Arabidopsis thaliana: one gene and its partners. The protein of the gene in region 1 interacts with the protein of each later gene in a pairwise test. Each region holds a gene or a part of one and is shown in the gene's direction. Other genes may lie near its edges. The genes, in order: SSP4, AT1G10585, AT4G23050 and AT4G18340.

Region 1 (9,100 bases):
GTTCTATCAAGACTCACGGCAGTTGATGGAGAAAATAAGCTGCTTTGAGACACAAATCCGCAGGCCTTATTTTCATGTAAAACCATTGGATACTAATCAGCTCGACAATTGGCATGCATATTTGAGCTTCGGTGAAACATATGGGGACTTTGACTGGGTAAGAGGTATTCCTTTGTTACTGATTAAGTTTTGGCTCTTGTTCCATTCTTGTTTATATATATAACTTGTTTCTTTTTTTAATTGCAGGCTATCAATCTCTATGAGAGATGCTTAATACCATGCGCTAATTACACCGAGTTCTGGTTCCGCTATGTGGATTTTGTAGAAAGCAAGGGTGGAAGGGAGCTAGCAAACTTTGCATTGGCTCGAGCGTCACAAACTTTTGTCAAGGTAACTGGGGTTATGTTCGCTTTAGTGTATCTAAAAAAATCAGATACAAGGTAGAGAAACAACTAGGATCATACATTTGTATGACACCTTGTGGGTTCGTTGTAGAGTGCTTCTGTTATCCATCTATTCAATGCAAGATTCAAAGAACATGTTGGAGATGCATCTGCTGCTTCAGTTGCTCTGTCTCGATGTGGTGAGGAACTTGGTTTTGGTTTTGTTGAAAATGTAACTAAGAAGGCTAACATGGAAAAGCGCCTGGTAAGAATGATACACTACTCGGTACCATCTGGTTTTGATGTCTCAGTGGTCAAGATATCTAATTATGCAGTGTTCCATGTAGGGTAATTTTGAAGCTGCTGTTACCACGTATAGAGAAGCTCTGAATAAAACGCTCATTGGAAAAGAAAATTTGGAAACCACCGCCCGGCTGTATGTTCAATTTTCTCGCCTCAAGTACGTGGTAAGTAATGTGTCTTGACTCAAAAAGGTTTTCATTTCAGTTCTGTTAATAACATGTCAAGATTTAGAGCTATGGGAACTGTTTTTTGGGTCACTACCTTACCTTCAATGTATCACAATTTTGGAATTCTTTCATTATCTTATGGTTTTCTTCCTTTTTGTAGATTACAAATAGTGCTGATGATGCAGCTCAGATTCTGTTAGAAGGCAATGAGAATGTTCCTCACTGCAAATTACTTCTTGAGGTGTGTTAATTGGCTGGCATTTTGAATCTCTTTAAACTTCTAATCATAATTTCTCACATGGAAATCATATTTCTCCACTGAATTTCTGTTAACGTCTGTTACCTTTTTTTTAACCTTCAATCACTGTTAATCTTTGCGCTAACAGGAACTTATGAGACTCTTGATGATGCATGGAGGGTCTCGACAAGTGGATTTGTTAGATCCTATCATAGATAAGGAATTATCTCATCAGGCAGATTCCTCCGATGGTCTAAGCGCAGAGGACAAAGAAGAAATATCAAATTTATACATGGAGGTGAGGTTTTTCTTACAGATAGGAGATTCTGTGGTCTTTTTTGCTTGTCTATTTCATTTCCCCCCCATAGTAATTGCTCTTGGATTTGAGCAGTTTATTGATCTCTCTGGAACCATCCATGATGTGAGGAAGGCTTTGGGTCGACACATAAAATTATTCCCACATTCTGCTAGAGCCAAGTTACGTGGGTCCCGTCCTTCAGGAAATTTATTTAGAGAGTTGATTCAGAGAAGAGAGAAGACTCGAGAGCGCTTGAATCAGGACCTATTAACAAACAAAGGCATTAGCAGTATAGTCGATTCACCACCAAAAGAAAAGAAAGAGTCATCTCTAGACTCTTATGGTACCCAATCTAAAGATGCTGTACGGGCTGACTATGTAAACACTGAGCCTAATCAGGGCTGTCTGACTTCTGGACATCTAGTTGAAGGAAACGATAATGTTATTGAGAGGGAGACTTTGTGTGAGTCACAGAGCGATCTGTCCATGGGATTAAAAGCCAATGAAGGTGGTAAACGCTCTCATGAAGTTAGCCTACCGATCCAAGCCTCACCAGAACATGGTTTTGTCACTAAACAAGCTCACTTCTCGTCCAATTCAGTAGATACTGTGAAGTCAGATGCTATAGTGATCCAACCTAGTGGCTCACAGAGTCCCCAAAGTTACCAAAGTCAAGAGTCTCTCAGGCAAACTGGTCGGAACAGGTACCACAGAAGAGATTTAAACCAGATGCACAGAGATTCAAAACCTCGTTCTCAAGAGAGACCTCCTCAGATGCCATATTCTCCAGTCGGAACTGGTCGTGAAATTCTTGGTCAGCACATGGCTTTTACTCATCAAGACAATCGAGTAGCGCTACAAAGCTCAACCTCTCAGAATCCGCAAAACCAATTTCAGAACTCTGCACTTCAGATGCATCCTGTGGTTCAAACATCCAATGCTTATCCTCAATCTCAGATACATGGTCAGCACATGATTGTATCCCCTCCAGAGTCACAGAATCCGCAGAACCAATGTCAAAACTCTACATCTCAGGTTCAAACATCCTTTGCTTATCCTCAAACTCAGATTCCTCAGAATCCAGTGCAGAGTAACTACCAACAAGAAGGTCAGATGCAGAGTCATGAAGCTTATAACCAGATGTGGCAACAGTATTATTATAGCTATTATTACTATCAGCAACAGCAACAGCTTATGTCTGAACAGCCTCAACCAAATCAGAACCCTCAGCCACAACTAGATCAGAATCTTGTGCAACTTCTCTCCAAACAGTACCAGTCTCAAGCCAAAACTCAGTATCTACAACCACAACAGGTGGAACAGGTCAATACACAGCAACAGAGTCAAGAACCACAAAATCAGCAGCAAATTCAGTTCCAGCAACAACAACAACAACAAGAGTGGTTCCAACAGCAACAGCAATGGCAACAACAGCAGTATCTTCTCTATATTCAGCAACAGCAGTTGCAAGGAGAAGCAAAAGGCGATGAACAAAGACTCTCTATGCCGCAGGGTTCCACAACAAACAGTGATATTCAAAAGGTTTGCTTAAAAATTCAAACATGATTGCTTCAAAATTGTTTATTTTATATCAACTTAAGCTGTTTACTAAGAATAGATGTTCTTGTAGAGTCAAGAATCTGGAGCAGTCAATGAAGCAAATCTATCTTCTGACACTTCCATCAGTTCTATATGAGTCTCATGAAAGCCGATGGACACGTAATTGATTGTGTTATTAAAAAGCCTGAGACAAAACAAAAAAATGTTACATAAACTTCAATTTCAGTTTGGTTTTCAATCCAATTTAGTATTCAATTAATTTTAATTCACTTCGGTTTATTTATTTATCTGGTTCAATTTGGTTTGTGTGCACTAAATGAGTTTTGGTTATCGATTGTAATTGAAGAAATCAACTGATATGGTGTAAAAAAAAAATCAATTCGATTTTGGTTTAACGGTTTCGTTTGGTTTTATTTTTCCGGTTGCGATTTTATAAAGGACGGAACAGTAGCAATTAAAAGTATTTGGTGTATTTTCGTGATTATTTTAAGTTTCTGTTTTCTGTTTTGCTCCAAATCTCGAAAAAAATCTAAAATTTTAAAATAATTTCAAAAAAGCGAGGGGCTTCAACACGCGTCAAATTATGTGGGTGAGTCGTCCAGCTGGTCTATTATAACACGTGTTGGTTCGGTATTGGATTAGAAGCGCCCACCAAAGGAACAAATCGTAGCCGTCGATTAGATGAAATAAAGAGCCGTCATAAGGCTTGTATCATTCTCTATTGACCGTTCGTGGAAGTTGTGTGAGAGAAAGAAAAAGCCCAGAGAGAAGAGAGAGAGACCCACAACACAAACACAAAGTAGACGAAGAAGACGACGACGAAACAGCTCTCTTCTTCTCTCCTCTCTCTCAGGTCCGTCTTCTTCCCCCAAATTTGATCGCTTCCTTCCTCTTCTTCTTTGTCTTCACCTGGAAATTTCGTTTTTTTCTTATTACATTTTTTGTTTTTTGTTTTCTTCTGTGTTGTTTGACTTTCGATTTCTGATTCTGTGGTTGTTTATGCTTTGATTTTGTTGGATTTGTTAGAAAAACTTTCCATTTCATCTGGGTTTTGAAAAAGTTTCCTTTTTTTTTTTTTTTGGATTTGTGCTGGTTTTGTGACTTTTGTTCTCAGCTTCGTTTATTTGTGGTGAGTTTATGTTTGAATTTTGATTCTATCGAAATTTCGTTTTTGTGTGCTAATTTGTTTTATTTCTCTCTAATTTCGCATAACGATGACTTGATTTTTTGTTAGTGTATCTTTGATTTGGAGTTGGAATTTTACTTTTGGTAGAGAAATGTAAGTTTGAATAGAGAGAACTATTTGTGAATTATAATTAGGTTTTTTATGTGTTAAGGTTCTGGGTTTAGCTATTTCTGATAGGTTGACTTGTGGTTTGTTTGTCTTCTCGATTTTGTCTCCATGATCCGAGATTCCATGTCCATGCTGTGTAGATTCTGATCTCCTTTTTGGATTTTGGATTTTGGATTTTGGGTTTGAAGTATTAAAATGATTGATCGTGATGGGCTCTGTTTTTTTTTTTTTGCAGCATCTTCTGCTGGTTTGGTCTTTCACTAAAGTCTCGGTGTGCACCTAAATGTGCTTGATCCAAGGTCGTTATAATTCTGTGTACAGAGCCAATGCCATATATAGAAATGAAGAGCAAGATAAGCAAGGTTCTTGGTGTCTGTAAGAAACATAAAGCAAGTACAAGAAATTCTTGCTCTTTGTCCAAAATATCAGGAGACTTGGAAAGCATAACCGCAGCTATTACTACTTGCCACGACGATGAGAAACAGCACCCTGGTAATGATTTTTCTTTGTTTTAAGTATTGTGTTCTCAAATTGTTGATTTAGATAATCTGAGTTTGTTGTGTCATCAATCATTTTTTGGTTTCTTCTCTCTGATGATTGTGTCAGTTTCTTCAGGGTTGGATACTTTTTCTCGGGAGAGTGAAACTAATGAGCCCGCTGAAATGCTTGTTGAAGATACTTCTCAGTCTCAGGGGTTTGCACCTTGGGTCGATGGTTCTCAATCTGTCGAAAATATGGTAAGATTGGATATCTGGAGCTGATTCTCAAGGATACTGGAGAGCAACTTTTTAATTGTGGTTTTAACATTTATGTGCAGGAAAATGCTTGCAATCACATGTCAAACTCAGATACAATATTTTCACCTGTTCTGAATGATGAACTGGATGGAACTGGTCGAGGTACATGTTCCTGTTGTAGTTTTGGTATAAGGTATCCTTTGTTTGACATATAATAAGCTAATAGATTTCTTTCCTCAGTATTTACAGCAGGAAATTCTGTGATCTGGGAAACCCCCAGGTGGGGAGCCGACGAGAGCAGCAACAAGATTTGCTTTGACAACCAAACGTGCAACGTTTCTGATTTCTATATTTCTGACGTTCTTATTGCGAGCTTGCCGTTTGATGAGAGTGGAAACAACGATGCGTTCACTGAAATAAGCCCCTTGCCTCATTACATCTTTCCTGAGCAGTACATGGTACTACCTTACTTAGAAGATGGATCAGCCAACAAAGATGATATTAAGTCAGATACTGACAAGATTAATCTCGATAACCATGACTTGTTTCTGGCATTCAACCGGACAAGATCGTACAATGTGGAACCAGATGATCGTGCTGAATCTGAAGTAGCTGAAGACTTTGATCCTCAGCTTTTTATAAAAAATCAGCCGGAATTATCGGATGTTGTATCCAATTATTGGCCTCGGGATACCCTAAGAAAGAAGTCTGTGACCCTTGTCCTTGATTTGGATGGTATGATACCCTAATTTAATTATTGTCGGAGTCTGATTTCTCCTTTTACATTATTCTCTCATCTTGTGCTCGTTCATTATATCAGTTGTTCCTTAAAATTGATGTTGTATACTGAATCATGTTTAGAAACAGAAGGTGAACTGACTTATTTCTTCCTTTTGAGGAAATATGGTTAAGCATTTTTATGTCTGTGTACTGTTAAATTTTATGTTTCTCTTACCTCTAAGGTAGATGAGCTACTGAGCTTACCAAATTCTCTTTTCCTTAAATGCAGAAACTTTGGTCCATTCGACTCTGGAATCGTGTAATGTTGCAGATTTTTCCTTCAGAGTCTTTTTCAACATGCAAGAAAACACGGTCTATGTGAGACAAAGGCCACACCTTTACAGGTTCTTGGAGAGGGTGGGAGAGTTGTTTCATGTCGTTATCTTCACAGCAAGCCACAGCATCTATGCCTCACAACTTCTAGATATACTGGACCCAGATGGAAAGTTCATATCACAGCGTTTTTATCGCGATTCATGCATTCTTTTGGATGGAATTTACACCAAGGATTTAACTGTTCTGGGTCTTGATCTGGCCAAAGTGGCTATAATTGACAACTGTCCGCAGGTACTTTATCTTAAGATCTGCTCATGGGTCTCAACATTATTCATTAAAGTCTGATGTTTCATGATGTTTTATATACTCTGTTACTGAGAACACTATTAATTTGATGAAAGGCCCCACCATCAGTTTCAGTTTGAAGAATATCTGTCACATTACAAATTACAAACTTTCTTGGTGTATAATGATACATGTACCCGTTTTGATTATCCAACTTGTTTCTTTGTTAATTGTTTCAGGTGTACAGATTGCAAATAAATAATGGGATCCCTATCAAAAGTTGGTACGATGATCCAACTGATGATGGGTTGATTACTATACTTCCCTTCTTAGAGACTTTGGCTGTTGCTGATGATGTTCGGCCTATCATTGGCAGGAGATTTGGTAACAAGGAATAAGAGTTTCCTTCTCTTTTTTTCTATATACATCGAGTGCAGATCCTGATTTCTCTCCTTTGGATTTTAGTTACAAATTGGCCCTTAATTAGTTCCTCATATCTCTTTTTAGGTCGTTAATTAGGTAACCAAAGAATAAGCTCGTTGAGTCTAGTGAGAATAAGTTTCCTTGCTTGCTCCCTTTTTTTAATAGAAGACCTAGTTGTGGGCTTAAATCTTATGACTTTGCTGGTTCTTCTCTGCCAAGATAGATCCTAGAAAATCTTGCAGTTTGTTACAAATGTACAGTTGGTTAAGCTGAGATAATGGATGTGTACAAATGAGTTACTATTGCGTGAAATCATTTTGGAAGTTAACACCAGCTGCATTCATGTGTCTCTCTTTGCACTCCTCTTGTACTGTTTAGTTGAGCTTGAAATTCTTACTTGGACTGGTAAATCCAGAACATATTTACCTGCGTCAACGCCAGTCATAGAAATACAGAAATATAATCAAATAATGCAGAAGTTGTTGAGTCTGAATCTTGAATCTTCTACCAGCTTCTATTGTTTATTTTTAAGGTTCTGAGCAAAGTTATTCCACGTTTTCCGTCTCTTGGCTCTGCAACATTCCAATGAGATATCATACTCCGAGGTGGGAGGAGTTCTGAATATCCAATGATCGAGTCAAGCTCATGGTATACAAATAGTCTATAATATTCATTAAAATTTTCATGATTTTGCATGCCTTATATGCAGATATCATCCAATGAAGTAACGAACCTAACTATATTTATTCGCTTTATGGAAATGACAACAGTAGGTAAGTTTTAAATCCTTATTTACTTGTCCCTTTTTTGGTCTAACAAGCTTCTTTTTGTTCTTGTTTCTTATTTCCGTCCTCTCTAACCTTGTAATCTTTATGCTGAAAGCTGTTTCACAATCTTGTTGCTTAACTTGGTCCAAAACCTGTTTCTGTCCCTCTGTTTCTCCCCCTGGTTTCATGTAGAGTAAACAGGTTATTGTCTTAATATATTATACACGTTTAGTCACAGATGATTGTTTAAAGTATATGTCAGTAATTGCTGTTTATCAGTTTCTGAGCTTGGTTTGTTTTCTCCTCGGTTTAACATTTATGTGCTGTGTGACTGGTTTAAAGTAGTGTGTTGATCTTTGATGTTATCCTCAGTGAATTTTCTAGGAACAAGAGCTCCTAAAAACTAGTCGCAGTCTCGCGGGCTCTTTGTTTTCCCATACAAGTATACTTTGCTCATATATGAATGATGTATTACATTGTAGAAATTCTACAATCTATAGAAACTTTTACAGTATAATATATAAAAGTTCTTTGATAGTCTTAGGAAACAGGAACCTATCTACAACCTATGAAGGCTACCCGACAACACTGTTTTTTAAAGCTCGACAAACAGTCCTTCTTCATTGAAAACGAAACAAAACTAGGCCTCCGTCTCTAAAGTTAAAATATGATGAGCTATCTTATTTGCAATGCGATTACATTCTCGGGGATTACAAAAACAGTAACATAACAAAACAAAGTTACCATGACATGTTCACATGAATGTCATGCAGCATAGGTTGAACTGCAGTCAAGTATGTTATTGCCCATCAAATCTCTACCACTTCTGCTTTTAACTTTTGAGGCTAATAAAAACCAAAGGCAATGCACGGCACGAGGCAACGAGCCACTCCACCAAACTTAAGTGCTCACACGTGAGACATGGACCCCCCATGAACATGAGAACCCTCCGGATCAAATAGAGTCTTTCTTTGTTTCAGTAAAGCTGGGATTTTTTTTGGTTGTTGTTGCGACATTCGTCGTATCCATTGCTTAGGGAGAGAAGAGATAATGCTGAGAGCTTCGCTGCTCTGTTCTTCGACCTCAATCACTTTCACACCAATTCAACTATTCAATCCCAATAGTTCCCATCGTTTCCCAAGATTCGAACTATCTCGTCCTGTCTCGGCTTTGTCTCGTACCAAATGTCACTTGAGTCTCCTGAGAGCTCGTGGGAAATCCAGCTTCCTCACTCGCAGCACCGGTAACTAGTTTTTTTTATTGGGTTTATCCTTGTTTTGTGATTCTGTGGTCTCTGTCTTTTTCTCTTCCAAGGTGTGGAAACTTAAGAAGTTTTGGGTTTTGAGAAGCTGTTAGCAACTGTATTATTGAATTGATTCTAATTTTTGTTTCTTTGGCTCTCTTTGTTTTTTGATCTTCAGCTACTGATGAAGCTGTTGAAACTAGTAGTAACAGTGGATTGGATTTGGTTGAGGTTGGATTCTTGTCTGGTGTTCATGGCCTTCAAGGCGAGATTTGCATAAAACCAAACACTGATTTTCCTGATTTACGTTTCTCTAAGGTATTCAAAGGATAGAAATTTGAAGAAA
Region 2 (6,217 bases), on another chromosome or scaffold:
AGATTTCGGCAACTATTTAAAACAAAAATTGTTTGACAAACTAAAGTACAATTGTAATCCCGTAAAATATTTATTTTAATTATATATTTAAATCAACGATGTACTGTAGTTTTTTTTTACGGGACGGGTTTGGCGGGACGGGTTTGAAAGGACATTACTTAATAACAGTTGTAAACTGTAAAATAAATATATTTTATAGATAGATATAATTTACGAACTTTTATATATACTAATTTAAAAAAACAATTGTTCCCGCGGTGTACCGCGGGTTAAAATCTAGTATATTACATTTTAGTTAATACATATAACGATTATAACCAAATTCATACAAAAGACATGGAAGTAACTAGGTTGTGTGTTTTTATTGGCACCAACAGTTGCCAGTGCCTCAACTTATAGATCAAGCGGTATCATACATGATCCAACTGAAAGAGAAGGTAAACTATTTGAATGAGATGAAAAGGAGAATGTTAGGAGGAGAAGTCAAAAATCGCTCTGAAGGGTCGTCTCTTCTGCCAAAACTCAGTATTCGTTCACTGGATTCGATCATAGAAATGAATCTGGTTATGGATCTAAACATGAAAGGAGTAATGTTACACAAGCTTGTGAGTGTTTTTGAAGAAGAAGGAGCTCAAGTGATGAGTGCTAATCTTCAGAACTTGAATGATAGGACCTTTTATACAATCATAGCCCAGGTACATGCATGTGTCATGTTTTTTTTTTTTTTTTTAGCAGCATCTCTTTGTTCCATATCATTAAAATATAGTTTGAACTTTTTTTGAAGGACTATATATATATGATAAATTAATAATCACCTAAATGAATATTTGCAGGCTATCATATGTCGGATCGGGATTGATCCATCAAGGATAGAAGAGAGATTAAGGGATATAATCTCATGATTAATTTTTTGAAGCATTATTGAATCCCAAATCACAAGTCTTTTCTTAACAAATTAAATGTGTTAGTTCTTTAAACATGAGATTATGAGTATTTTTAAGAGTGAATTGGTGTAATAGCCCTATTGTTGTTTAAGTTAAAGAGAATGATCAAATGTCTGAATACCATTTCCTCAAGTATATGAACGAAAAAGCCTCTCACATCATCTTCAAAATCTCTTTATTTTCTCTTTTCTTTCTATGCCTAATCTCTATTACGTTTATAGAATCTCATGTTTAAATATAAAATATATTATCTACTTTTATTGTCAAGAACTCTCAAATTTTCTTTCATTGAGCATTTTAAGCTCAAATATTTTATTACAGGCGCCGTCTAAAATAGTCGTAATTGATATTTGCATACATAGAATAGATAGATGTTATGCATCTGATGACTATCTTCAAAACATGTTCAAGGGCATAGGCATTTGGATCCACTTTTGGAGTTTTTCATATTGCGATAGCAAGGACATTCATCTTTGTTTTCTCCTAAAATCACACATGGTTAGATTTTGTATGTGAATATAGTTAACTAAAACTTAAAAAACATGTATATATACACGACATAACTAGTAAACAAATCTTTTTTTCTAAATGTCTTATATAAATTGGACAGTATATATAGATCGATAACAAAAATTTCGCTACAAATTTTCTAACTATAAGTAATCATCCTTTTCTAGCCACAGAATTAGTTACAAGTAATTATAGGCTTAACATTTTAAAATTGGGCTAATCTGTATTTCTAGTCACGGATTTTCAATGGCTATGAATTATGATAGTTACCAAATGACTATTCTCTTCTTGTACGAATTCAAATATTTGAAGAAGGAAAAAAAGAATAACATGTGGAAAATGCAATAAGGATATAATTGTCCCTTACTCAGTTTCTAAGCAAGTGGTCAAGCAGCGAGACGATATATACACAGTGTTAGTATCATATTGCGGCTCCTTTTACTTTTTATGTCAGTTTGCTCAGTGGCAAAGTTATGACCAACATCTACCTGGAGTACTCCAAGACTCAACAAAACTAGGCATGTTTAATTTTCTGTCTTTGTATTCACCTCCGGTGAACGTTTAGACGATCGGTCCATGTAGATCCCCTATCCGGTGAACGATGTCGGCCATACGGCCAAAGAGAGTTGAGGGCCTTTAATAATTTATGTAAGGAATGCCGAATGTGTTGTGTCCTTTTCTTCTATGATAATGATAGCTTGTTGAATAATCTTAGGTTATGGCGCCTTATGATACTTTCCTCGGATAATGAATACGTGCACCAAATTAATTGAACATGATGATACTATTTGATTTAGTGGTCCCGATTCTATCAGTATACAAAACAATTTTCCTTTTCTATTTGTTGATAGAAACATATATAGTACTGTTGTAAGGAATTCATTTTTGTCTACCGTGGCTGTTGACTATTTTACGCCATTGAAATGATTTTTGATAATAATTTTCTCCAAACCTACTGTAAATCACAGGACTTAAACTCATGGTTAGTAATCTGAAAGAAGAAGAATCATATCTCTGAACGTTAGGAATCTCATCTCACACGGTAAGCATGATGCTATCTAAACTATGTCTTTGAACGTTAGAAATCTTACATCGAAATTATGATGCGTCCTAGTAATGTGTCAACCCACCAACAAATCTAATTTTTTTTTTAATGATAAACAACATATCTAATTGTTTTGAAACTTTTGTATCTTTAAGAACGTGGAAATTCCGAAGTAAATAGTAAAATTTACTTGGTAGGAAAGATGCATGCATCTTATTAATTTAGTGTGTAAGCTCACGGACGCAATCACAAAAGCCATGACTTTCTTCCAAAACATCCCTTTCATCTAAATCACGTAGCTCTTTCTCTCAAAGTTGAGATTTGTGACTCTGTATCTCCCGGCCCTCTCTATCTCTTTAACTGTATATAAAGAGAGATGGATTTGAAAAGAGAAACTTGTACATAAAAGCTTAAAAGAAAACAAAAAGAATGGGGAGAGCAAGAGAAATAGGAGAAGGAAACTCATCGTCGTTAAGGGAACAACGAAACCTCAGAGAGAAGGATCGAAGGATGCGCATGAAACATCTCTTCTCTATACTTTCTTCTCATGTTTCTCCCACTCGCAAGGTCCGTTTTTTCTCTCTAACTCTCCCTCTCTCTCTTTCTCTCTCTATATATATCTTATATTAAATTGTAGATGTGTTTTATGCGTATATACAACAATACAAACATTATCTACATAATTACTGTAAGATGTACGTTTTATTCTAAAGAGATAATATTTTGATTAATTGAATAGGCAGTTGTCCCTCTATGACCGTCCATATTAGCTCTCTTTTAAGTACGGTGTCTAATTGACAAATAAATGATTCACGTAGCTAGGGTTTTTACGGTTTATTTATATATATTGAATATAACCACATTCATGTAAAAGATTAATGAAAGTAATTATCTTGGGGTTTTTTTTGGGATCTAAACAGTTACCAGTGCCTCACCTTATAGATCAAGCGACATCATACATGATCCAATTGAAAGAGAATGTAAATTATTTGAAAGAGAAGAAAAGGACATTGTTACAAGGAGAACTCGGGAATCTCTACGAAGGGTCGTTTCTTCTACCCAAACTCAGTATTCGTTCGCGGGATTCGACCATAGAAATGAATCTGATCATGGATCTAAACATGAAAAGAGTAATGTTACACGAGCTTGTGAGTATTTTTGAAGAAGAAGGAGCTCAAGTAATGAGTGCTAATCTTCAGAACTTGAATGATAGGACCACTTACACAATCATAGCCCAGGTACCACATCCACACGCATATGTTTGTATAATACACACGTATATGCATGTGTCATGTCTTTCGTATAAATTTTTATTACATATATTTGCAGGCTATCATTAGTCGGATTGGCATTGATCCATCAAGGATAGAAGAGAGAGTACGGAAAATCATCTATGGATATATATATTTTGAAGCATGAAATCCCAAATGATAAGTCTACGCTAACGCTAGTGTGTTTTTTCACACATGTGTTAGTTCTTTAAATATGAGATGAGTAATTGCTTTTGAGTTCGATTATGATAAATATGTTGACCGTCAACATAAGAAACCTTAAAACGTTGTCGTTTCGTTTTTATTCATCCCGGTTTAATTCAGTTTGGCTTGGCGTGATTTTAGATTGGTCCAGATTTGCATAATTTTAACCACCGAGTAAGACAGTGGGATGTAAATGTCAATAAAATACACTATTGGGGTAAATGTGAAAAGAAAAAAATAGTAAGAGGCTATATTTGAAAATCTAAATATCGCACAAATTGCAACCCTTATTTTAGATTTAGGAATTTTGAAACCCTTGTCGAAGAGAAAAGAGGCAAAATCTCAGTATAAAGTTTCTCAAACACTTGTGGTAAGAGAGCAAAATCGTGAGAGATGGATCTGATTCAATCCTACGAAGAAGAAGACGAAGCCGTTGCTTCCTCGCCGGAATCTTCACCGCCTCGTATGTTAAAGGCGAAATCATCGGCGCCGGAGGTAGACGATACGGCACTAGCTCTCACGGTGGCTAACGTGAATCAATCGAAATCGAAGCCGATTGACCCGACTCAACACGTCGTCTTTTATAACCCTACCCATGATCAGCTGTGGGCTCCGATGTTCGGCCCCGCGCATCCGTATGCGAAAGACGGGATCGCTCAAGGGATGCGGAATCATAAGCTAGGTTCTGTGGAAGATGCTTCGATTGGATCGTTTGGGTTTGAAGAGCAGTACCATACGTTTCATAAGTGCGGTTACGCGGCGGATCCGTCTGGGATGAACTACGTCGGCGATGTTGAGGCGTTTAAGAAGAACGATGGTCTTTCGGTTTTTAATATTCCTCAGAGTGAGCAGAAGCGGAGGAAGATTGAGAGGAGCAAAGAGGAGAGGGAAGGGGAAGAGAAAAAGGAAGAGATTGAGCCGGAAGCTGAGAATCCGGAGACGGAAGCTTGGCTTAGGAAGAATAGGAAGAGTCCGTGGTCGAGGAAGAAGGAGGTGGTTCAGGGAGAGTTGACGGAGGAGCAGAAGAAGTATGCGGAGGATCATGCCAAGAAGAAGGAGGAGAAGGGACAACAAGGTGAAACCAAAGGAGAGCATTATGCGGATAAGAGTACCTTCCATGGCAAAGAGGAGAAAGATTATCAAGGAAGGTCTTGGATTGAGGCTCCTAAAGATGCTAAGGCGAACAATGATCATTGCTACATTCCAAAACGTTTGGTTCATACATGGAGTGGGCACACGAAAGGTGTTTCCGCTATTAGGTTCTTCCCAAAGCAAGGACATTTGCTTCTCTCTGCAGGTATGGATTGTAAGGTTAAGATTTGGGATGTGTATAACTCTGGTAAATGTATGAGGACTTACATGGGTCACGCCAAAGCTGTGAGGGATATTTGCTTCTCCAATGATGGGTCTAAATTCTTGACTGCTGGGTATGATAAGAACATTAAGTATTGGGACACGGAAACTGGCCAAGTTATATCGACTTTCTCCACTGGGAAGATTCCGTATGTGGTTAAGCTGAATCCGGATGATGACAAGCAGAACATTTTGTTGGCTGGTATGAGTGATAAGAAGATTGTGCAGTGGGATATTAATACGGGGGAGGTTACGCAAGAGTATGATCAGCACTTGGGGGCAGTTAATACTATCACATTTGTGGACAATAACAGAAGATTTGTCACGTCGAGCGATGATAAGTCTCTCCGTGTTTGGGAATTTGGGATCCCGGTGGTTATCAAGTATATCAGTGAGCCTCATATGCATTCTATGCCTTCCATTTCTGTTCACCCGAATGGAAACTGGCTTGCTGCACAGAGTTTGGATAACCAGATTCTGATCTACAGTACCCGAGAAAGGTTTCAGCTGAATAAAAAGAAGAGGTTTGCAGGGCACATTGTTGCCGGTTATGCATGCCAAGTTAACTTCTCGCCAGATGGACGGTTTGTAATGTCAGGAGATGGTGAGGGTAAGTGCTGGTTTTGGGACTGGAAGAGCTGCAAAGTGTTTAGGACTCTTAAATGTCACAATGGAGTATGCATTGGAGCCGAGTGGCATCCTCTGGAACAGAGTAAAGTCGCAACTTGTGGTTGGGACGGCTTGATTAAGTACTGGTATGTAACCTTCTTCCAGACTATTTTGTTTATTTGTTTCTCTTGTCATGATGTGTGGTGTGTGCCTTTACGTAACAGCTGCATAATAGTTATTATTGGTATATATAATTGTAGCAAAGCTAAAGTTGTCATCTG
Region 3 (9,225 bases), on another chromosome or scaffold:
TTGTCACAAGGATAGATCAGTAAAGAGTATTCTCCAATCAACTTGGGGAGGAAAGAAACAAAAAATGTTCCTAACCTGCTGTTCTCGAATCAACCTCTGAGCTGTCAATGACGGTGAGGGTGGACGCTGTGTCCTTTGCGGATAATGTGCATAAGGAACACCATATTCACTCTCAGAAATGCCACCAAACATGGCAGCCTCTAGCATGATAGCTTCATCATGTTCCTCAGAAGAAATGCCTCCCCACTTATACCAGAATGTAATAAGAGTATTAGCTCAGGAATGGAATAACTACTCTAGGATACCTACTTAAAAGTAATACAATTATACAGGTAATCTGATCGTTCTCATATAGGAAACAAACATATATCTTTTGCTACCTCAGAAGGAAAACCATTGCCAGCACCCGGTGAATGAATAGTTGCATCTTCTGCTTCAGGGCTCCGGGGAAGATCATCATTAAGTGAGCTCCGAGATCCAGAAACCGCACGTCTTGGTCTGTGGCTAACAAGGGGTTCCTCTTCCTCCTCAACATAATCAGGGTCATCGTCATCATCATCATCATCATCCTCAGACAGTGAGCTAGGTGCTGCGAATCTACACATATAAAAACAATTTCTTGGGACATTGTCTAGGAAACACAGAAGACAAACTGATAGACTACAAAACAGAACAAACTAACCTTCCATTTGAGGCTCGGGAACCCTGCTGTACTGGAATAGAAACCATTTCAGAAGCTTCTCTTTCTGAGGATGAAGCCTTCCAACCTTCACTGCGCAACACTTCTCGCTCAGCTGACTGCACTGTGACAGATTTTGTTACGTCATCACCAGTCTCCATTTTGGAGGCCTCAATAGCAGCTCGAATAATTTGTTCTTCTATATCATTGTAATGTTGCATATTATTTTCTGCAGAACCAACAGGTACAGCATGCCTACTTTGTCCGGTTGGAGCAGACTGATTATCATCATCACTTACTTCATCTATAATGACCGCCTCTTGGGCAGCTGGACCGTGAGCTTGAGCTGTCTCGGTCACATCCTCAATAGTAGGAGCATCATTAGATTGACCTGATGGCCCATTGCTGTCTTTAACCTCTATAGGTATCTCCCTGGCCTCCCTTGGATGACTAACAAATGGGGGACGCGACATAACAGGATCATTATCAAATAGACTTCTCCCAAAGTTTGGATCACGAAGCGGGAACGGGTCCGTTGTTCTAGCTTCAGAGAGGACTGGAGTCACACCATCATCTATATCCATTGCATCATATGAATTTTGATCTCCATGAGTAAAGTATGCATTCACAGCTCTATTGAGGTTCCCACGATACTCCTGCAATAATGATAGCATGTAAGTTTTGGCAAACACGAGGAACACCAGCCACACACAAAAAAAAAACTTACAAGTTATAATGATGCTGAGACAATAGAATAATGACTAAAAGATAAGAATGCACAAAGGACACAATAAAAAGTTCTCTAAACCCAAACTAAAATTGTACACAAGATGAGTTCTGAAAAAAAATTCATTGACTTCAATAACTAACTTAAACCCCACATGAATATCTCTAAAATACCAAAAATCCAGACCAAAATCCAAAAAAGAACAAAACTTTTCACAACTAATTTCACAATGAGCAGGTATAAACTCGTTTAGATATCAATGAACAATTAACAAAACCAATAAGCATGAGAATTCTGTAAGAAGTCCACATAAAAACTCAATCAGATAATCGGATAAACTAAAATTCAACACAATTAACTCCAATTGCGACCTAAACGCATCAAGATGAGCTTAACAACGATATAACAAAAGCGTAGAGGAGATATAATTCGATGATCCAACGAACAACCACTTGAGCGATTCGAGAAACTTCCAAAAATACTTCAATCAAAAACAAAATAACATCTAAACAATAGAAGGAAGACGGAAAAAACCCAGGGAAGTGTAATTGAATCACCTCGAGCTTACGAACGGCGACGGCATTGGAAGAGCCGGTGATGGTCATGAAGGTGTCAATAGCTTCCTGAGTAGGTGTCGCCATTAGAAAAGAGAAAGCTTGAGAGAAGTTTTTCGTCGGAGATTTGTGTTTGGAGCTGGAGTGAAGGAGGAGGCAAGAATTAATATATGTTGTAAATCACAAAAATTGCAGTGAAGAAAGGAATTGGATCGGTGACTCTTAAGATTTTTAAAGCCTTTTTTAGGGTCTTTCTTCTTTTCCATTTTTTTTAATTCTCCTTTTTTATTTGGTGTGGATTTTCTTAAACTTTATTTTCTTTATTCTTTTTGTATATTTTCGGTGATATTCAAGATATTATTTTCAGAGAACTTGAGATAATATATGGAGTGTCCTAATCTGAATAACTAAATAAATAATTATTCAGTTGAAATTGGATTTTTTTTTTCAGAGTCTTTATATTTTATAAACTGGAATTCGAGTCAAATTCAGAGTGGATTAAACTTATCTTTTTAGTTTTTACTAGCCAAGAACTTTTTGACCTTTTTTTTTAACATGATATTAATTGTTATAGTGTATATACATTAAAAGTTAGATAATTTTTAATGTACAAAAAAAAAGTTACATAATTTATTTTTTTTCACACCAATTACATATTTTATTTGTCAATTTGACAGTAAATATGGAAATAAGCCTTAAAATGTAAAGGCTTTTCGGTCCAACAACGAAAAACCAAAACCAAACCCAAAACTAAAATATCCAAAGATATCCTCACTTTATGATCATCCCAATCTTCCCTCTATATAGTGCCTTTAAAGGAGCTGTCATGTTCTCTTTCGGCCGTTTGTAATATAAGAATTGTCGTTTTTGTCCAAAAAAAAGGGTTGGCTTTCAGTTTGTGTCCCAGAAACAAAGTAAATCTTTAGATAAATTGAAACAAAACTAGCTTTGTGACTCCAATTAAACTTTGCTTCCTCTAAGAAACCTTATGGAGAGTATTATTCTACAATGATTTGAAGTATACTACTAATAATTGATTACATTTAAATTCAACTATAATTTATTGTTATTGTTCTTCAATCAACTTGAACTTTGAGTTTATTGGGCACATTACTTTTAGAGGAATGTGAATGTGAACATTGAAGAGACGTGTATTTTATTTTCTTCTTGACAAATACCGTTGGAGGTATAAAAACACCATCAAACTCAGGCCCATTTGGCAATGGCGGCAACAAGAATGGGTATTATATTGAGGTTAATTTCGTCAATCACCACTTTTAAATCGTGACAAATTCGTCTATTATCTCTCAATCTTCTTCAACCTTCAATTACATCGGCAATTCTACAAGTGGCAGCATCCTATTAGTAACAAACACACGTGGCGTAAGCTAATGCGTCGTAGTGTTTATAATAGCTGGGGTTTGTTAATTATGGCGTCACGAGTGATTTAAGAAGCAGCTGAAAAATAATAAACAATGAGGGAATGCCAACGTTTTAAATTATATTTTTAATTTGTGAATTTTCATCAGAGTCGGATCTTGATGCGACTGCTCAAACAGAGTCACCGGCGATTACGATGGCCGGAAACAACTCGGAATCGAGTCTCTACCAGGTTTTGGTGGAGTGGTGTCAGAGGATGGAGACGAGTCAAGCGAGACTAAGGGAGGATGTTGATGACTTATTGCTTCAGGAGGAGAGTCGAACCGGTAAGGAATCGGCGACGGGATTGGAGACGGACACGGAGAAAGAGGCTGAGGTAGAGGTGGAAGCGGAGGCGGCGGATTCCTGGGATAATCCGACGGCGACTTGGGAGAGAGCTGTTTCAGGATTCTATTTCGCTGATAGTGCGTATCGGACTTTGATGGATTCAATGGGACACGCGATTCATGTAACATCAGCTGCGTCTGGAGAAATTACATTCTGGTGAGCTTGATAAGTTCTTCTTCTTCATCTATGGTGTTTGTAGATCAGGAGCTTATAGTTCTTCTAAGTACTGTTTCATTGAATTGTGTGTTTAAGTAGTTAAACAAAGTTATATATAGCGATTCATTGTATATGCAAGTGGACATTTACTATTTGTTTCTGAGTGGAGAGATTCTTTTATTATTATTCAGGAGTCGTTCTGCTGAGAATCTGTACCATTGGTATGCTGAGGAAGTTGTTGGCTACAGAACTATTGATGTGCTTGTAACCGAAGAATACCGTAATTCCCTTACTGGTATCAGGAATAGGGTGTGCCGTGGAGAGACTTGGACTGGTCAGTTTCCGTTTCAGAAGAAAACTGGTGAACTATTTATGGCTTTGGTGACTAAAAGCCCTGTGTATGAAAACGGTGAGCTGGTTGGTGTTGTTACTGTCTCGAGCGATGCAACCCTTTTCAATAGGATGCATCCACTAAGTAATGAGCATCAACAACAAGCTCGTAGTAATAATAGACATGAATCAAACTTGAGAAAACATCAGTGGCACCTCCCGAGGCCTCAGATCGCTGCAGCATCACAGGTTCCAGTTGTCCCACAATATTCATCAGCTGTTGCTTCAAACCTGGTAGATCTCACATCATGAATGTTCGAAGTTTCTCAGTACTTTTTTTTATATAATAATTCGTGTGCAACATGAATGATTGTTTGTTTTGCTGTTTTCTGCACAAACCAAGAAGGCGTCGAAGCTTCTACCACAGAGAAATGGAGATGATTCCTTCAATGGAAATCATAATTCGAGGAGCCGAGATGAAAATGTTCCGGTTGTTGCCTCCACAACTTTCGAGAAGTATGGCTCACTGGTAAGTCTTCGTTGGCTCCTTAAACAAGACACTTCTCATTGACATTTCTTAGAACGATTATTGTCTCATGTTATAAGCTAAATCTGCATATACACTAGTGTAGGCGGATAAGTTTTTGGGGAAGCTGCAAAGGAAGATTACTGGCAGCCAAGGAACCGAAGATAATGAGCCTATCTTAAGAAACGGTATCAATAAGTCAGCATGTGGCAGTGGAGGTAGTTCTAAGGCTTCTAATGCAGTTACCTGCACGGCTTTCAGAGACAATGGCAATGGAAAACCAAAAAGGGCTGAAGTTAGAATTTCAGATGTCTATGGAAATGGAGCTGAGGGTTTGATACATAATGGAGATCGCTTTCAGTATATTGGGAACCTGGGACAAAGTAAACCTCCCAGAGGACTAGAGAGTGGTTTGGTGTCTGGCATGCGGGGAACAAAAATGTCGGACCTAAATGGTGAGATAGAAGATGCTTGGAATACTCGTCTTAGTGTTGATCCCTTGCCAATTCTAGGAGTCAACAGCGGTAGGCAACAAAGTCCTGTCAACCAAAGGAATAATAGATTAGTTACTGATTCGTCATGTGAGATACGATGGGAAGATCTACAACTTGGGGAGGAGGTCGGAAGAGGTGTATTTCATTTACCAAAGTCTTACACTCGTTTTCACGTTTTAGATATGCAAATTCAATTCAGATCTGTGTCATTGCTGTTTAAATCAGATTACAAGTATTTCTGATGCGTTACATTTTCTCACAGGTTCATTTGCTGCGGTTCATCGTGGAGTTTGGAATGGATCGGTGAGTTTTCTGTAATTTAAGATAAAATAAGGATGATTCTAGTATTAGTTGCACATGGATAACTAACTAGTCCAATCTATTTGGACCAGGATGTTGCTATTAAGGTTTACTTCGATGGTGATTACAATGCGATGACTTTGACGGAGTGCAAAAAGGAGGTATGTATAATTAGTTCTCTCTGTTATGAATTGTTTCTAGAAGTTACTCGTACCAGACAAAATAAATCAGTTTTGATCAATAATATCTTCAGATCAACATTATGAAGAAACTGAGACATCCGAATGTGCTACTATTTATGGGAGCAGTATGTACAGAAGAAAAATCTGCCATAATCATGGAATATATGCCAAGGTGAGATTATTGACGTATGGATCTGGAAGTAGTGTTACTCCTTATCGAGTGTGTTATATTATGCTGCAAGAAATTGCAGATGAATACTCTGTGCTAAGTTATTTCTATACGGTTTTGATGATTAGAGGGAGTCTCTTCAAAATACTTCATAATACGAATCAGCCATTGGACAAGAAACGCCGTTTAAGAATGGCCCTTGATGTTGTAAGACTCTGATCTTCCAAAAACCTCCCTCACAATGAAAGAAAAAAATATGAAAGGCTGATTATATTCGGGTTCTCTGTTGTTGTTGCAGGCTAGGGGAATGAATTACTTACACCGCAGAAATCCGCCAATTGTACATAGAGACTTGAAATCTTCCAATCTACTCGTGGACAAGAACTGGAATGTCAAGGTACAAACAGTTTTCTCAAGTTACATTTATGAAGACTTGTAAAATGAGTTTACTATTGCATGGACTTTCAACTCTTTCTTCCCTAGGTTGGAGACTTTGGGTTATCAAAGTGGAAGAACGCAACCTTCTTGAGTACTAAATCCGGGAAAGGAACTGTAATGTTTAACAAAAGCCATTTCTGATTCTTTTAATCCACAAAACAGTCTTGGATTTCTGTTACTAAACATTGTTCAACTTTTTTCTATGTGCAGCCGCAGTGGATGGCTCCTGAAGTTCTCAGAAGTGAACCTTCGAATGAGAAGTACGTTGGATATAATATTAACCCTTTTTTGTTCTCTTTTCGAAGACATTATTCAATAACTTGAACATTTTTTTGGACTAAAAGCTCAATGCTTTCGTTGTAATAGGTGTGATGTGTTCAGCTTTGGAGTCATCTTATGGGAGCTAATGACTACGTTAGTACCATGGGACCGTTTGAACTCTATTCAGGTACCTCTCAAATTCTGTTCTTATGAGATTATAGCTTGATCATAAGATTGTAGTAATCTTAGCAACTTTAAATTAGGTTGTTGGAGTTGTTGGTTTCATGGATCGACGATTAGACTTACCTGAAGGATTAAATCCCCGGATCGCATCCATAATACAGGATTGTTGGCAAACGTAAGAAGACGCATCTGTAAATTGTTTCATCAAATACACCCTACAAACTTAGGGGCGATTTTTCTTATATTCTTTGTTCTAAATTGTTGAAACAGTGATCCAGCAAAACGACCGTCGTTCGAGGAATTAATTAGTCAGATGATGAGCCTGTTCCGCAAACCAGGGTCAGGTGCGCAAGAAGAAGACGATTGAGAAGGTAAACAGTACATGGTTAAAGGATAGTTCACAAAGCAAAGGACGTGAAAAGAAAACGAAAGCATCGTCCTGATCACTTACTATACAAATGTTTCATTGTGTTATACCAAACTACTATTTATGTTTTCATTGAAAGAAAGAAAGCAAAAATAGCTAAATCAAAGTAATATACAGTAGAATCTTAGGTTAGTTTAGTTAAACTATGCATTATATAAACTGTTGTCGGTTTATGAGCTAAGTTGTAAAATGGGATCTAAAAAGGCAGAGGCGCAGAGGCCAGAGGAGGACTCAGATGTAATTTAAGAAGTAAAAGGGTGAAAAAGAGAAATACGAGAAAAACTGTGAGATTGATGGTGTCTTGTAGTGAATTGTAATGTAGTTGGTTTTGGTTTGATGGGGTAAGAGAAGGAGGAGTGACAATTCGTAGGCATTGCTTCTTTTGCTTTAATATTCTCTTATTACAGCTTCCCATCACTGCGTCGTCTGTAGCTTCTCAGCACCTAATTATAAGAGAGAGTCAGAACCCTAAATAAAACTTTTTTTTCAATCCTTATTCGTAATTCCACATTACAGCATCTTGAAATTGACGCAGTCACAAAAGCATAATTAAAAAAAAAAGGATACAAAGATGGGTCTATTATACCGAGTATGTATTGTGCATGCATGTGACGTGGGTGAAGGGAACTTCTCTTATAGAAGTATTGAAAAAGGAGAAATTTTGGGGGATTGAAAATATTTGTCTGTTTGTCTGGTTAGGTCAGAACAAATCACATCGAGCTGCATAGTAATATTTCGTTTACAACACATGGTTGTGACCTCTAGACAAATAAACTTTTTAACAGTTTTCGCTGTTTTGCCTTGCATGTATTTCGTAGTATTTCAATTTATATGTAACTATATTTCAATTGAAACATCTTTACCATATTATTTTCTTTTTTGATGCCAATTTCTTTACCATGTGTTTGCTCTTGTGTTATTTATGTGTGATTGATTGATTGACCGTGTCGATTACCCAAGCGGAATCTTGTAAAGGGATACTCCGTCACCGTAATACAGTGACAGCATATTTAATTTAAAATAATATAAAGTCATTGTAGGATGGAAAAGTAATTTCTATGATATTTTCTTCCGAACATTATAAAATTTATTTTGTCAGAAGTAGAGCAGATTAAAGTTTCGAAGATGGATACTTTCACTTTTTTCTTGTAAGATATTGATTAGGTATGATTGAGGCTCATGATACGAAATAATGTCAGTGTTGAACTACTAATTTGTTATGCTTGAAATGCTTTTTTATAGGTCAGTAGGTTTTTTTATTTTATTTTTAGGCATATTTATTCTGGTTTAGTTTAGTTAGTTGGTTTCTAAATTTTCCTTACGACTAAAAAATCTAATCCCAAAACCAAACGAAAACAAGAAATAATAAATCGAACAATATTTTTAATAACAAATAGAATATATATATATATATATATATATATTATATCAAATTATTCCAAGATAGAGTTTTTCAGTTCATTCCTAGTTCCTACTCATATATTCTTAATTTCTATTATCTCAAGATTTTATCTTGTCCTCATATCTACGAATTGTATGAAAGGGTTTAATAACCATAATCTATTGCATTGTCCTATCTACGTACACCATAATCGCTTGTGTTGGTGGATCTATAGTAATCTAAACAATTTTTTATTTCCATGGCGTGAAAGTTTGAGCCAACAACTAACGATATTAATCGTACAAATGAGTTTCATATTTTTTTTTGCAATCTCATTTCAAAAAGTGAAACCAAAATTTGGATGCTTCTAATTAACCATAAGATTTTTTATTAGGTGCACCTAATCTTGTTAATAAATTATAATCTTCTTTGATTAGTTATGCTCCTATCCAGATTTCATGCTTCAACTCTATGATTGATCAACTTGCATTATTACTGTACCATAAATACTTTGCCAACGAATGTTAGTTGTGGGGGAAACAACAATTCCGCTGGTAATTTTGACTGAATTAAAAAATTAGAGATAGAATGCAAGGAGACACGTACGAACGAGTTCATACACGAGAAGCAGTTGACCAGAGTCAACAAACC
Region 4 (7,146 bases), on another chromosome or scaffold:
TTTCCTCTCCTATATGATCATAAAGCTTGTTTTTCTTCTTCATAAATCTTGCCGCTTAATCCTTATCCATTATCCACCAAAAATTCAATTTTGTAGGCAGCTTTATGAAATAATGCTTTACACCATTTTGACTCGATTATAAGTATTATATATATCCACTATTCGAAATGGCCCACGATATCTGTATTTTAATATGACGTCAAATATCTTATTTTGTCTAATGAATCCAAACTAAGTACAGTATGTGAATCTTGGTAATATATGTATATAGAGTTCAGTTCAAATATAAAATACAAGTGTATGACGTCAAAAAGAATTTTTAGATACGTTATAGGCTCATTATTTAACTATATGTTCACTTTGGTGCAGCTTAGTATCTTTTATGCAGATATAATTTGAATTTTTGATCTGGTGAACTATATATTGTTAAGTAAAAAAAAAAACATGTCGGTCCAACCCAACCTAGACCTGTCAAGCATGTTTAATGATGGTTTGGCCTGATCCATTTGTTAAACAGTAGGTAAAATTTGCAATCTTTTTTTTTTTTTGTTTTTTTTTGATTTTGCAATCTTCTCCCTTATCTACACTGTTCTCTTTAAGAAACCCGCTATAACACTTCCCGAATCATTCATGCGGGAGAATTCAAAGGTACCTTAATATTACCACCTTCAAACCAATTCGCACATGGTCCAAGTTGGAAATGGTTAACCAATTTAGTTACCTATCACTATCAAATTCCCACAGTTGGGTGTGATGCATCATACATTTGCAAATGTCCAACATGGAAATCCGAATCAAGTAAACCCTATATATACTCTATTTTTCATGCGTTAAAAGGGTTAAACCCTTTCTTTGAAGAAACTTAACCTTTGTTCAAAAACATTGATATCGTTGAGTACTTGTGTTGCTTTAAAAAGCTTTCATGTCATTTTATTTGCATATTCGATATTGTAAATAAATTGCAGATTAAATGGCATATTCTTTCAATCCGAGCTAAAACAAAATCATTCTCTTTTTCTGTCTGCTGTTTCAAACTTGCTGGACAATTATATGATCTTTCTGATTTGGACATTAAAATATCCACAGATAACGTAAACTTGAAATATTCTGCAACCAAAAATATGTCCATTCAGTAAATAATTAACAAACTAGATCATATTCATGAAGAACTAAACCAGAATCATTAAATTTAAACATTAGAAATAAATTAAAACTTGTGTCATATACTCGATAATAAATCAAATTATCTTTAACTTTACACATATAGGCCTATATAAAACAATCTGTTCGGCCGTGTATGGTATATAGTTACGTCATTATCAAATTAATCTATATGGAACTGCCATAAGTCGACCGGTGGTCAATCCTAAGCCACGAAATCAAACTTTTAAACGACGAACTAAAAGTTTTCAGCCAACTATAAACAGGCCACTCTGAATAATTGACTGATTTTGACTCCTTTCCACATATTTAATTCCAACATCGAACGATTACATTTTTAATTGCAACAAGTTCAATAGCTTGAGACGGGTATATTTCTTATAAGTTGTATACATGTGTTCAAATAAAATGGCTCTTGGTGTCGTGAAAAAGAGAGAAGATTTAATATTATAGAATCGAAAAGAAGACACTAGGGTATTTTGGATTAGATCAATACAGCCAAAAGTTCCACTTTAAATTAATGTAATTTTCTGGCTAGCCAACCTTTCGAGAAAACGAATTGACTATCGTCTACGTGATCAAGTTTAACCCTTTATATTTTACCATTTAAAAATATAGTAAGTAGAAATTAATTGATTAACAAATCAATAGCCAACCAAGCGAAAGCACTTACTATTTCTTAAATAAGTTTTGTTGGGGTTTATTATGTCAGGTGATTAAAAAACAACCGATGGTTGAAATTGACCGACGGCTCCAAGTGTGTGACACTGCCCCGCCAACTTGTCTAATTCCCCTCGAAAGCATATTAGCAACATTATCCCAATTGACCATTTTATTTTACTTTTGTTATGCTAATGCTTTTAGTTATTTGTCAATTTATACATTATCATATTTGTCTTGTTTTATTTTACAAGTGCCTCAAAATTAAGCATGATCCTTTTGTCTAAAGGAAAGTAAGTATATCCCTTCTCTATCATCTTAATCCGAATAACAATATATTTGAGATTTTTTCTTGACAATTAATGGCAAATTATATTACGACTTATATATCTTTCACGAATACAATTTTGGATATCCCGTTCTTGATAACTTTCGAGGACTTGTATGAATTTCCGTCCAAAAGCCTCGGATTACAAAAAGAAAATAAATATGTGATATATGTTTATTTGTATGTATTATATTTCCCGGGAGATTTGAAAATATTAAACTTTAAAGGAGAAACGGAGGAGGCTTCCTCAGTGTACTATTGAATCCTTTGACACGTCAAGTCAAATCGGATCTCCAATTAGCTTTTGTCTAAAGAAATATAGTAAGGTTTGTTTGTCATATTAATTAGGCTAGGATACACTTGCGGTCAAGATTCATGCGAAAATGTAATCATTATTCTTCGAATTTGAATTAGCATTAAATTAATCATAATTAACACGTGATTAGTAAAATCAATGATTCAGATAAATTAGATAATAATATTAATAGTAGTAAAAGTTAATAAGAAAAATAAAGACCATTTTTGTGGGACTAATAACCCATTATAAAATTTCTTTTGTCATGAAGTTTTAGCTGAAAATTTGATATTTTACCTTTCATGATTATTCTACAAGACATGATTATCTATTAAAATTTCATTGTGTTAATATTAATTTTTATACCACGTCTTTTTCTCCATGATTATCGTAGAATAAACTTTTGGTGTATAGTACAAGTTTGTTTTAAGTCACGACTCACCTACTTAATTGAAACGAATATTTTAATATTTTCCGGTGCTTTATGAAACTTCTTCAATATTCTATACACGTCCACTTATGTGTATCCCAATCTCTTCTTAATTTAATAACATTGCTCACTTTTTTTACCAACCCAACAGTTAACACCACTTGTATAGTACATGTAATTAAACGAAACACACAAACAACGTATTTCCTTCCATACATGTGCATGCAAATTGTCTTGTCATAGAGTCTGCATTAATCTAGCTATATGATAAATAACTACATACAAATATTTTAAAACCTAATAATTTTCTTTAATAAGAAATCCTTCGTTGTGGTTTATAGAAAGCCGTCAGTGGATAAAAAAGGCATAAATGAGAAAAGCAATATAGGGAGGCAAAGCTAAACAATTTAAAAACACTTTTTTTAAAAAACATAAACTTCAACACTAAACCTTTTCACAACAAAAAACACGGAAAAAAAACAAACAAGCGAAGAAAAGTATTCTTCACCTTGGTTGGCTTATTGTGTATGTCTATAAATATTCCATTAAACACTTCTCTTAAAACCCAAAACCTTCACAATCTCTTTCCCTCCCTCTCTCTTCCTCAACATGACATCAAGAACATTCACAAGACATTCCAGTCTCATTCATGTTTTTCTCCTGCTTTCTCTCGTTTTCTCAGGTTATTTTCTTTTTCATTCTGAAATTTTAAAACCAAATTCTTAACACTTAAGTTATGCTTTACGTTGCCGCCTTAAAACCTCAACGTGTAAGATTTTAACATAGTGAAATAACGGATCGATAATAAGTCTAGAATTCATTTTTTCAATGTTTGTTTAATGGAATATTAAAGATTTTTGGCATTGTTTTCTAAAAGTTCGATTCTTTGTTTGGAAATATAGGGAATATACTACAAACAGTAACGTCTCTTGGCATCAATTACGGACAAGTTGGGAACAATTTGCCTTCACCGGATAAAGTCATTAACCTCTTGAGATCTTTAAGGATCACAAAAACAAGAATTTACGACACTAACCCTCAAATCCTTAGTGCCTTTGCAAATTCAAACATCGAGATCATCGTCACCATCGAAAATCAGGTTTTACCATTACTACAAGATCCTCAACAAGCTACCCAATGGGTAGATTCTCACATTAAACCCTATGTTCCGGCCACTAGGATTACCGGAATTATGGTCGGAAACGAGCTTTTCACCGACGACGACTCTAGTTTAATAGGGTAAGTACTAATCGTTGAATATTAGTCTAATTTGTTACATGATCACAGAATTAGTTTTTTTTCATTAACTGATTTCACATTTTCTTGACTACCACTTGGTCAAATGTAACGAACTCCTTCGAAAAAAATATTATATTTATTAAACTCCACTTTGAATTTCAATAAGAAATGAGTGTAATAGTTTTTGTCCAATAATTGCTAATTTTGACTATATTCTCTCCTCTTTTTGGTAATAGATACATGATGCCGGCGATAATCAACATCCACAAAGCCTTGGTCCAATTAGGTTTAGATAGATACATTCAAGTCTCGTCTCCAAGCTCTCTTGCCGTCCTCGGTGAATCTTATCCTCCATCTGCCGGAAGTTTCAAGCCGGAGGTTTCCTCCGTGATGCAACAACTTCTAGATTTCTTGGAAGCCACGAAATCTCCTTTTTGGATAAATGCTTACCCTTACTTTGCCTACAAAGATAACCCACAAGAAATCCCAGTCGATTACGTTCTATTCAACCGTAACATCGGCATGACCGATCCCAACACAAGACTACACTACGACAACATGATGTATGCTCAAGTTGACGCAGTTGCTTTCGCGGCTGCGAAACTAGGGTACCGTAACATAGAAGTTAGGGTTGCGGAAACAGGGTGGCCTTCAAAAGGAGATGTCGGAGAGATTGGAGCGTCTCCTGTGAATGCTGCCACGTATAACCGGAATCTTATGATGAGGCAATTCGCCGGAGAAGGAACTCCAGCGAGACGGAATGCAAGACTCGATGTTTATATATTTGCGTTGTTCAATGAAGATATGAAACCAGGTCCTACTTCGGAGAAAAACTACGGTATATTCCAACCAGATGGATCATTAGCTTACAATTTGGGATTCTCTACAATGTCGACAACGACGGCAAATTCAGAATCTGTCACTTATTCATCCTCTGCCACTAAGGTACGATTAGTATTATGTGGTGAATTTTGTTAGAATTTGGAATTATTGGGGCCACGACGAGAATAAGTTTGTGAAAGGACTAGATGTGCAAAATGAATTAATTCTCTGTTTTCTTCTTCTTTCAGGCAAAGAGGAGCTTGGAGTATTGGACAATTTTGATATTGGCGATGGTTCAAGTTGTAATGTTGAGACTATTTTAGAGGAAAAGTTATTGACAATATAATAACGCGATTGTTTAGGATATTTATGTAAACAATTTAATTATAAGCTTGATAAATATAATTTATATTCAATTCAACATTCAAATGAAGTCGGTCAATAGTGAAAATTCTAAATTTATTGTTGTCGTTAACAAGTAATTGACATATATAATAAAGAAACAAAGTTTACTTTTTAAGAAAAACTTGTCGTATATGAAAAGGTTTGAGTAAGTAGTAACTTTGACCAAAAGGCATATAATCGATAACCAGTAGCGGTTTAGAATCAACCATATATTTTTTTCCCTCTAATTCAAGAAATATGGCATAGCTTAATTCATTTGTATATGTTGTTGGATATTTTAAATACAATCCCTAGCTAGTTATATAATATAGATATTAGAATGCAAACATATGCATTGGAGTGGACGGTACGAAGAATTGGAACTGAAGCTAAGAAAAAAAAGCCATGAAACAAGAGCTTATGCTCACGATGCAAATTCACATGCTCATTTCCAATTATATCGGCTCAATATACTCCCTTGTTCTTGCCACAAACGATGCGTTTTGACCTTGAAAACATAGACACATATGCTTTTTTCTCTCCATATATTATTTTACCGATCAGTCAAGTTTAGTTTTATAGAATAAAATAATTCAGCTGCACGTAAGGAAAAATAAGTACTTTCTGAAAAATCAAAGGACACGAACAATCAAACATTAGTATGCAAATTATTTTCATACACTTGACCGTCAAAAATGCACTGATCAATGCACCGGTCATTCCGAACAAAAAAGAAAAAAAAATCTTTAAAAGATGAAAAATACAAAAGTGCGACGAGAGGAACAAAATCGTTTCACGTACGACGTATCGGCAACGATATCTAGGGTTGTGTAGAAAGATCGCAAAAGAGAGTAGTAGCGGAATTAGGGTTCTGGTTATGGCATGGAGATGAACCGGAAGGAGGTACGAATCCTTTGGGAAGCATAACCGAGAAAGTATCCTGTCGAACCGGACGGTTTAAACCGTTATTCTTCTTGGCCATCATCTTGAAGTAGCCAGCACGATGATGAAGACCACGGCGATGACGAAGAGTATGTCGATAGTAGTAGTAGTATTGGTGATTGTAACGACGACGACGGTGGTTGTCTCGTTGCAACCGCTGGTTCAAGATAAACGGTGTCGTTTTCTTGATGTAGACGAGTTGGTGCGGTGATTCGTAACCGTTGAGATAAGCTTCCGTTTTTTGTGTTGATGATACTCTTGTTTCTTGATTCGAAGATGATGATGATGGTGAGATGAGGAAGACGAGAGTGAGAATAAGAGAGACGATGAAGCTTTTTAGAAGACTCTGTTTCATCAAAACCAAATCTTCCATTGGGATTGAAAGAGAGTATAGGGTTTTGGCTGAGAGTAAGAGAGAGCGTAAAGATGAAACAAAAGCTCAGAACGAGGAGGGAATTAGAATTATATAATTCCTAATTAGTGATAAGTAATATCATTAATGAAATTATGAATTTGTTTTTTAAATTTTCGTCAATGTTGTGTTAAATATGAATATAGTTTTATATTGTAGTCGAAAGAAAGTGATTAAACATACAAAGGCACATGTTAATTATTTTTGAATGCAAACAATATAAAAAACTCATCACTACTTCATTAGAAAGGAGGAGGAGGAACATCGATGGTGGTTCCAGCCATAATCTGACCCTTACCAATTAGACGCCAATGCCTATCGACACGTCGGCTTAAAGCAACCTTCTCTCCTATGGTGGTACACACCGGAGACGTCAGTTGGAGTTTCACCATATCTTTCTTGACTCCAATAACCTTAGCTCCCGTAGACATAGACCCGATGTTCACCATCAATATCTCTTCTTTGGTTAGCTT

Evidence for each region.
Region 2: the proteins of SSP4 (region 1) and AT1G10585 interact in a two-hybrid assay, tested with the Arabidopsis thaliana proteins (one large-scale study listed by BioGRID).
Region 3: the proteins of SSP4 (region 1) and AT4G23050 interact in a two-hybrid assay, tested with the Arabidopsis thaliana proteins (one large-scale study listed by BioGRID).
Region 4: the proteins of SSP4 (region 1) and AT4G18340 interact in a two-hybrid assay, tested with the Arabidopsis thaliana proteins (one large-scale study listed by BioGRID).

The regions. Positions count from the first base shown.
Region 1 is NC_003076.8:18,821,438-18,830,537, forward strand, and holds SSP4 (SCP1-like small phosphatase 4), read left to right. Parts: upstream 1-3,665; 5' UTR 3,666-3,802; intron 3,803-4,478; 5' UTR 4,479-4,569; coding exon 4,570-4,735; intron 4,736-4,849; coding exon 4,850-4,980; intron 4,981-5,060; coding exon 5,061-5,142; intron 5,143-5,220; coding exon 5,221-5,715; intron 5,716-5,989; coding exon 5,990-6,327; intron 6,328-6,560; coding exon 6,561-6,719; 3' UTR 6,720-7,349; exon of another isoform or gene 7,350-7,453; 3' UTR 7,454-7,784; downstream 7,785-9,100. Other genes in the region: PRP39-2 (Tetratricopeptide repeat (TPR)-like superfamily protein), read left to right, coding at 1-157, 247-390, 496-648, 731-850, 1,014-1,094, 1,240-1,389, 1,483-2,931, 3,020-3,085; AT5G46420 (16S rRNA processing protein RimM family), read left to right, coding at 8,562-8,754, 8,933-9,072.
Region 2 is NC_003070.9:3,491,816-3,498,032, reverse strand, and holds AT1G10585 (basic helix-loop-helix (bHLH) DNA-binding superfamily protein), read left to right. Parts: upstream 1-2,788; 5' UTR 2,789-2,928; coding exon 2,929-3,066; intron 3,067-3,348; exon of another isoform or gene 3,349-3,377; coding exon of another isoform or gene 3,378-3,419; coding exon 3,420-3,737; intron 3,738-3,828; coding exon 3,829-3,918; 3' UTR 3,919-4,263; downstream 4,264-6,217. Other genes in the region: AT1G10586 (basic helix-loop-helix (bHLH) DNA-binding superfamily protein), read left to right, coding at 378-695, 834-902; AT1G10580 (Transducin/WD40 repeat-like superfamily protein), read left to right, coding at 4,368-6,082.
Region 3 is NC_003075.7:12,076,576-12,085,800, forward strand, and holds AT4G23050 (PAS domain-containing protein tyrosine kinase family protein), read left to right. Parts: upstream 1-3,484; 5' UTR 3,485-3,536; coding exon 3,537-3,883; intron 3,884-4,074; coding exon 4,075-4,507; intron 4,508-4,616; coding exon 4,617-4,742; intron 4,743-4,845; coding exon 4,846-5,368; intron 5,369-5,495; coding exon 5,496-5,536; intron 5,537-5,625; coding exon 5,626-5,694; intron 5,695-5,786; coding exon 5,787-5,887; intron 5,888-6,012; coding exon 6,013-6,091; intron 6,092-6,182; coding exon 6,183-6,281; intron 6,282-6,367; coding exon 6,368-6,436; intron 6,437-6,532; coding exon 6,533-6,582; intron 6,583-6,688; coding exon 6,689-6,770; intron 6,771-6,846; coding exon 6,847-6,941; intron 6,942-7,036; coding exon 7,037-7,133; 3' UTR 7,134-7,681; downstream 7,682-9,225. Other genes in the region: AT4G23040 (Ubiquitin-like superfamily protein), read right to left, coding at 76-246, 381-597, 683-1,335, 1,964-2,047.
Region 4 is NC_003075.7:10,128,357-10,135,502, reverse strand, and holds AT4G18340 (Glycosyl hydrolase superfamily protein), read left to right. Parts: upstream 1-3,310; 5' UTR 3,311-3,483; coding exon 3,484-3,556; intron 3,557-3,776; coding exon 3,777-4,113; intron 4,114-4,349; coding exon 4,350-5,058; coding exon of another isoform or gene 5,059-5,091; exon of another isoform or gene 5,092-5,183; coding exon 5,184-5,258; 3' UTR 5,259-5,453; downstream 5,454-7,146. Other genes in the region: AT4G18335 (uncharacterized protein), read right to left, coding at 6,140-6,634; AT4G18330 (Translation elongation factor EF1A/initiation factor IF2gamma family protein), read right to left, coding at 6,916-7,146.